Linked DNA regions of Oryctolagus cuniculus. The protein of the gene in region 1 binds, or shares a complex with, the protein of each later gene. Links are inferred from orthologs where the notes say so. Each region holds a gene or a part of one and is shown on either strand. Other genes may lie near its edges.

Evidence for each region. Proteins that work in one complex are often made in the same cells at the same time.
Region 2: CHCHD6 (region 1) and APOO share a complex: the UniProt entries of both Homo sapiens proteins name them as parts of the mitochondrial contact site and cristae organizing system (MICOS) complex. The link is inferred for Oryctolagus cuniculus from reciprocal best matches to the Homo sapiens genes CHCHD6 and APOO.

Annotation. Positions count from the first base shown.
Region 1 is NC_091441.1:109,939,283-109,942,569, reverse strand, and holds the end of CHCHD6 (MICOS complex subunit MIC25), read right to left. Parts: intron 2,941-3,287; coding exon 2,805-2,940; intron 808-2,804; coding exon 802-807; 3' UTR 581-801; downstream 1-580. UniProt on the Homo sapiens protein: Component of the MICOS complex, a large protein complex of the mitochondrial inner membrane that plays crucial roles in the maintenance of crista junctions, inner membrane architecture, and formation of contact sites to the outer membrane.
Region 2 is NC_091453.1:10,138,552-10,142,979, forward strand, and holds the start of APOO (MICOS complex subunit MIC26), read right to left. Parts: upstream 2,835-4,428; 5' UTR 2,583-2,834; coding exon 2,574-2,582; intron 2,511-2,573; exon of another isoform or gene 2,176-2,510; intron 1-2,175. UniProt on the Homo sapiens protein: Component of the MICOS complex, a large protein complex of the mitochondrial inner membrane that plays crucial roles in the maintenance of crista junctions, inner membrane architecture, and formation of contact sites to the outer membrane.

The DNA of each region.
Region 1 (3,287 bases):
CAGAGTCCTGCCAGTGAGGCTTCTCCACCCACCCTGTCTGTGCCCCTGCACCTGCTGGCCCCAGCACCGACCCCTGCCTTCAGCCCAGCCCGTGCCTGGGAGCTGGGCGACGTCACTCGGAGATCTGCCAGTGCTGCCCCCTGCCTGCCCCAGGACTCGCCGCCCCTAGCCTGGCCCTGCTGCCTTCGCAGCTCCGTCCCCCGCCTCCTGCCCCACGTAGCTCTCCTCAGACAGCTGCAGTAGCCCCAGCTTGGGCCTGCACCGCCCTCCCTGCATCCGGGGCTCCAGTCTCTGGCAGGCCCCTCGCTCATCTGTTCTACTTTTGTGTCTGCGCACCCAGAACCTTCCCCGGGAAGCGGCCTGTCTCCCCCCTGCTCCGTCCCCAACACAGCTGCCTGCCCCTCGGTGCACCACATACCTGCTTCCGCTGCACAGTGTGACTACAGGTTTCCGGACGTCTCCCCTGCCAGGCCAGGCTCCCCCCGAGAGGAGCAGTCTGTCTCACAGGGCTCTGACTGCCAATGTCCGACAGCGGGCCGGACACAGAGCAGGCAGCAGGGACTGTTTGCTGGGGAGCGAATGACTGCAAACAAAGACATCTGCTTTATTCGCTTTCGGACACGAGAACATACTGTTTCCCAAGTGCAGGGCAGCCCCAAGCTCAGAGGCATATGTGGATGCCCCAGCAGGAAATGGCAGGGCACGGCGGCTGTGGCCCAGGGTCTGCGGACTGTGGTCCCACGAGCAGGCCCTTCCTCGGGGCTCCAAGTCACCGCCAGGGCCAGGAGTGATGGCTGCTCCTCAACCCTGCAAGCAGAAGGGGTCAGAGTTCAGTTCCAGCTCTCTTCCTGGAGTCATCTCAGGTGGTGACGTTTCACTGCACTCACTGTGAGCTGGTCTCCCTCGTCATCCCTTGAGACCTGGTCACACATCTGAGACTTAGAGCCAGGCGGGGGGACAGGCCCTCCTTCGACATGCGCCCGCGGTGACGGGAGCTAGCACCGTGCCTTCCGCTCCTCTGTGCTCTGGAACCTGCATATCGGCTGCAGACCTTGGCACACAACAGCCCCAACCCACTTCCGCTCTGCCGCACCAAGGGCCGCCTCTGCTCGCTCATTCAACAACTCTCAGGATTCTCTAGGCAGCACACAGAGTGTACACTGGCACCCCAGAGTGCGCACAGTCTGGTCCCTGCTGCTGAAATGCTGTGTGACTCTGTCCGTGGCTCTGAGGTCTGGGCCTGGAGGGCACCGCACAGGTGTCCACGCTGCCTCTGGGAGCTCAGGGCGGTGGCCTGAGCCTTGAGCAGGAGACAGCGCTGTACCCTTCCCAGCCCCCACAGCTGGTGGGCTTCATCCCCTGCCACCTGGCTGTTTCTAGAAGCAGGTTCCTCTCAAGGACCCCTCATTCCCCCATCCCTGGCTCCACCAGGAGCCTTCTGAGGTGGAGGCTAGCAGAGTGCGTGTCAGAGCTCAGGGTTCAGGCCTGGGGAGCTGGGGGCCGGGCTCTGCCAGCAGGACCCAGGGCCTCCCCCTCGTAACAGGTCGGGTGTGTGACAAGCAGGGACTTGGAGCCCCCATCACTTGGGTGGGGGATAGGATCTGTGGGAAGGTTTCCATCTTGCTGAGAAGCAGCATGAAGGGCCCATGCCACGGGGTCCCGCCTGCCAGTGCTTGGCTCCCCGCACGCACGACTGCGGGGACAGCTCATGCCAGCTCTGCGCTCCGCTCAAAATCAGGCAAGCAGCTTTCCATGCTCCATGACACAGGAGAAAACCTCTTTTCCTCTCAGGCACCTGGCCCGTGACCAGCTGCTGCTGGGCGCTAAAGGACAGTGAGAGCTGGGGTTGTGCGGGCGCCTTGGCAGGCAGGCATGAGCGGAGCGGGGCGGTGGCCTGAGCTCTCACAAGGCCCCGGGGACACGGTTCAGTGGGATGGGAGAGGGGCTACCTGCAGACCCGGCAGGGGAACACACAGCCTCGCACCGCGGCCGCCTTCACCACAGATGCCTAGCTAGATGTTCTAGCTTCTTTCCTACGTGGGACAAGGCTTTTCTGTGGGCAAGGAGAACCCATCCTGCGGCCTTTCCTGTACCTTTTAACACACAAGCCAACGAAGGGCCTGCCAGCGCTGGAGCGGCCTGGCTGCATCAGGAGGCATTGCTGCAGCTGGGCCTGGGACACGGGCAGACTCGGCCAGAGAGGGCAGCGCAGCTGGGCACATGGGAGGCGCGGAGCAGGAGGCCAGAGCTGGGCCAGCTCCGGGAGTGGCCTCAGGTTTTAGGACAGCTGCAGCCGCTGGCTGAGCCCTGGAGAGCACAGAGCCAGGCCTGCTTGCCAGGGAGCCCGGGCCACTGCTCACTTCAGATCTGCGCTGAGGCTGTGCTGTGGGGGCCACGTCCACTGCTGGTCCTCCCTGCCCTTGCCACAACTCCCCCCTGTACTCTGGGCCTCCTCCACGCTCCCCGGCCCCGGGTGTGAAGAGCTGAGGAGTTGGGGCACAGGTGTGCCCTTAACTAGGTACTGCCCTTGGAGGCGGGGCCTGGCTGCCCAGCACTGCTCCTGGCTCAGCCCAATGGCAAAGCGCACAGGGACTGCGTCCCCTGGGCCAGATGTCCAAGGCCCTCATGGGAGCATTGGCATGGGGAGGGGACTGAGGACACCCTAATACTAAGAATCCGCCCATGGCGAATTCTCCAGGTAGAATGTCTGACTATGGCAAACAAGGCTGGCACAGGGGTCTCCCACACTCCAGGCCCCCCGTGTCTCCAGCGTCCCATGCCCTGGGAGGCAGGCAAGGCCTTACCTTGTGAGCGGCGCTCACGCAGTGCTGGTACGTCTTGACCAGGTCTGAGCACAGCAGTGCCTCGTGCAGGTTGTCACGGTAGCAGCGCAGGATCTGGGCCTGCAGGCTCGAGCACACCGGCTCCACCCTGCGGGGCCTGCGGGAGGAAAAGAGCAGGCAGGCCTGGGATGCAGGTGCAGGTGAGGCCAGGCCTCTCCCCAGAGGGCAGGGAGAGAAATGATGCACACACACTCAACAGCACAAGCTGGGCATTGGCCATGACCTTGATGTCCATCAGGGCCCCTTTAACAACCTCGGAGAGACACTTAGCTTTCTGGTTCTAAGTGTGATAGCGAGGTCACAGGTCCAGCCCTGTGCTTGGTGGCTCAGGCTCAGACCCCAGCAGACGCTGACTGGGCTGGGCAGCGGGGCGGAGGCTCCACCCTAGGCTCCTTCCCTGAGGTCTAAGCACCTGCAGGATGCCAGAAAGGGGTGCGGGCGCTG
Region 2 (4,428 bases), on another chromosome or scaffold:
AACCAGCAGATGAAAGATATTCTCACATTCATTCTCTGCCTCCCCTTTACAAATAAACATATTTTCAAAATTCGAATTTCTGGTGTACAAGGCCAGCATTGTGGCACAGCAGCTAAACCCACCACATGCAACACCGGCATCCCCTTTGGGCACTGGTTTGTGTACCGGCTGCTCCACTTCTGATCCAGCTCCCTGCTAATGACCTTGGAAAGCTGCAGATGCCCCAAATGCTTGGGCCTGTGCACCCACACGGGAGACCGAGATAAAGCTCCTGGCTTCGGCCAGGCTCCACACTGGCCACTGCAGCCACTTAGGGAGTGAACTAGCAGATGGAAGATCGATCTCTCTCTCTCTCTCTCTCTCTCTCTCCTTCTCTCTGTAACTCTTTCAACGAAGTAAATATATCTCTAAAAAAATTTTTTTGATGTAGTAATATGTACTTCACTAACTCATTAAAAAGATGTTAACAGTGAATCTTACAAGCACTCTAATTTTGTAGTGATGAGCATAAATGATATTTTGAGATCTGCAACAACAGTAATATGATATAAAAATGTCTCTGACTTGCACTGGTATTGTGACTTTTTAAAAAATATTTACTTCAAAGGCAGAGTTTAAGAGAAACAGAGACAGACTGTCTTATCTGCTGGTTCACTCCCCATATGGCTTCAACAGCCTGAGCTGAGCCAGGCCACAACACATTAGCAGAGAGCTGGTTCAGAAGTGGAGCAGCTTGGACTCGAGCCAGCACTTGCTGGTGTCACAGGTAGCAACTTAACCCACTGCGCCAAAATGCGGGCCTGAGTACTGTGACCTCTGTTAGTAACAGGCACTAATACTATTGTGGTTTGCTGCTGTAAGGCTTGTTAAATTAATAAGCCCCCAATGAGCCACACCTGCTTTTAACCATGCCCTTGTACAGTCCACTACCGTATCAACTCTGAACTTGGCTATGCAGCTTGTTTTAACATCAGCAAATGATGCAGGTGTTTGTACATTAGGACTGGCCCGTAACCATATGAGGAAGACACAAGGGAGGGACACCAAGCCTCCAAACACGGGAGAGAGAGTACCTTCCAGTCAAGCCCCCTGCTCAATTCAGCCCCTGGAAGATGCCAGAACTGCTCAACCAGCCCAGACTGAGAAATAATAAATCATTGTTTTAGGGTACTGCTTTGCAGTGGTTTGTTACCCAGTAATAGGTAATAGGTATTCACAACTGAAGGAAACACTTGGTTTCATTGAAGATGGGGTGAAAATAAGTTTTTCCCCCATCAGAATCCAGGGGCCCCCCTATATACAGACCCTTTGAAGGACTGAGGACCCCAGGTTAGAAACTCCTGGCTAAGCCAAAAAGATCCTGCTCCCCTTTTTTACGACCACAGTATATAGCTGGTACCCATGCAGCTGAACTGGTCACAGCATAGGCTTCATCGTAAGCCTAAAGCCAAGCTGAGCTGCTAGCACATAATAGGTGTTTAACCTCAACTTGTCAAATGAATGGAAGTTGCTTATGGGATTCGTCCTGCTGACTAAACCGTGAGCTCGCCGAAAACAAACCAGAGGCATGTCTACATGCCAAGACCTCTCTCAAGCGTCTTACGCACAACTACTTCCTCCTACGACTACCTATGAGGCAGATGCTATCATCCCGATTGTCACCAACAGGAAAACAGGCAGAGAGGTTAAATGCCTTGTCCAAGGTCACACAGCAGGACGGGCCAAGGCCAAGGCTAGCAGGCAGAACCGATGTTCTGATTTTATGGTCTTTATTAATGTGCTGAAAGCATACAAGAGCTCAATAAAGCTTAAGCGAGCAGCACAGTTCTAAGATGTCATTAGCACTACTTTACGGGTATGATGCCTCTTGAACGCTCAGTTTCGTAGATTAATTTCTGATAGCCTATGACTTGTTTTTTGTGACTGCAAAAATAATTTTTAAAAAATGGCTTAATGCTACAATACGGATTTTTGGAAATAAAGTCTTCATTGTCTGTAAAAGTCCTTTTATTAAAGGCCACAAGCACATAGATCCTAAGAAAGTCAACACGTCCATTTAAACACGGATAATGGTCACTGGGATGTGGAGCTTCCCTCCCCAGCCAGCCATTCCCACACTAGCCTCCCGCTTCCTGCAGCGGCCACTCCGAGGGCGACCCTCCCCCACCCACATACCAGGTTCTTGAAATCTGATGCTGCCCGGCAACCAGAGTAGCAAACCCCACGTCGCCAGGAACTAGCCTCACCCTGCCCACGATCCCGAGAAGGCACCAGCCGAAGGGGTGGGTGCTTTGCGGAGAGTGTCGTAACTTTTCAAAGTGTTTTATTCACGGAAGCACGACCCAAAAGGGCCGTCGCGACCCGCCCCCGAGTCTCACGCCTCCGCCCGGCAGCCACTCGCCCCAAGATGACCAGTGAATGGACCGCGGGGCCGGAACGCAGCCTGCCTGCAGGCGGGAAAAGCCTTGGGGCGGACCGTGCCCGGTCCCCGGAAAGGCCCACGAGAGCGCGGGGAGGGCTCCCGGTGGCCGGGAGGGGGCGATGACAACTGTGACCCGACTCCATGCTCTCACCTTGAACATGTTGCTGGCAGCGGCGGTTCCGGCAGGGTCACCCCGGCCTCGGCCCCGCCTACCACAAAAAGCCGACTACGGAGGCCCGATAGGGCCTTGTTTCACCCAACCGCAGGCGTGCCGCGGCGCGGGTGACGAACGTATAGTCAACTCGATGAGGCGAAAGTTTAGCTCAACCACCCTGGACTGGAAGCGACGTCACTGAGCGGCAGCGCGTAGCGCCCCGGACGGCGGGCGGACGCAAGCCCCGCCCTCCGTGACGCTCCGCCCCTGCGCCGGTGGTTGCTAGGCGGCAAGAAAGCCCCGGCTCAGTGTGGGCGGCACGAGGAAGCGCCGGGAGGGAGGCGCGAGGAGGGAGGCGCCGGGCGCCGCTGGGCGCTGGGAGTCAGCCTTCGCCTCCAGGATTGGGCGCCCGGAGGTGTGGGCTGGGAGTCCCGTCCTCAGAGGCCTCCGGCTGGGGGCGCTCAGCGGGCCTCAAGCTTCTTCCAGAGTCTCGCAGCCAGAAGCCGCCGATAGGAGCCCTGGATTTACCTCTCAAAGGTTTTTAGGGTTTGTTTTGTTTTTTAAGATCTACTTATTTATTTTGAAAGAGTTACAGAGATAGAGAGAGAGAGAGAGAGAGAGAGAGAGAGAGAGAGAGAGAGGTCTTCCATCAGCTGGTTCTCTACCCAGATGGCCGCAAAGGCCAGAAATGGCCCAGGCCAGAGCCAGGGGCTTCAGCTGAGTCTCCCACGCAGGTGCAGGGGCCCGAACACTTGGGCCATCTTCTGCTTTTCCAGGCCACCAGCTGGGATCCAGATTGGAAATGGAGCCCTCAGGACTGGAACCAGCACCCACGTGGCAGTCACAATGCTGCCTGTTTTTTAGGTCTTTACCAGGAGCTAGACATTTATCAGGCTTTAAGTTTAGTCGCCAAGGATGCTTTTTTCTCTCTTTAAAATACTTAAGCATTACTATTTTATTTGCAGTATTTTCTTTTTCTATTTAATACCATTGGTTGGACTCTTTAATTAACACACAATTGCTTTAGGCGTGTAAAATTAACTGAAAAGTGATCCCTGTTAAATATAAGAGTGGGAATAAGAGAGGGAGGAGATGTACAGTTCAGCACATGCTCACTCGGACTTATCCCTAATGGTAGAGCTAGAAACGTGCCATGGGACTCCAAATCCCATCAAGGTGACGTGTACCAATGCCATCTTACTAGTTAAAGTGATCAGTTTAAATTCATAATTGATCATATAGGATTAAGTGTCAAAGGGATCACATAAATAAGGCCAGTGACAAAACCCTCAGGTGATTACTGATGCCATAAACAAGAGAGTCAATTGTTGAATCAACAACAGGAGTCACTGTGCACTTACTCCCCATGTAGGAGCTCTGTCCTTAATGTGTTGTACTATGAGAATTAACAGTAAAACTACTACTCAAACAGTACTTTACACTTTGTATGTCTGTGTGGGTGCAATCTGTTGAAATCTTTACCTAGTATATACTAAGTTGATCTGTATATAAAGATAATTAAAAATGAATCTTAATGAAGAAGGGGATGGGAGAGGGAGTAGGAGCTGGGATGGTTTGCGGGTGGGAAGGAGGTTTAGGGGGAAAAACAGCTATAATCCAACAGTTGTACTTTTGAAATTTATATTTCTTAAATAAAACTCTTCTAAAAAATAAAAATAAATACTTAAGCATAAGCCCTTCACTGGAAGTTAAATGTTCCTTAATGTTTCCGAAGTAAGAAATCATCACAATAATTATCTTAAAAGAATAGCAAGCACTGATACCGCACTTGTTATGTGCACATCTTTGATTTCAGCTCCTTACATACATCCAGCTATTCTTTCACACAACC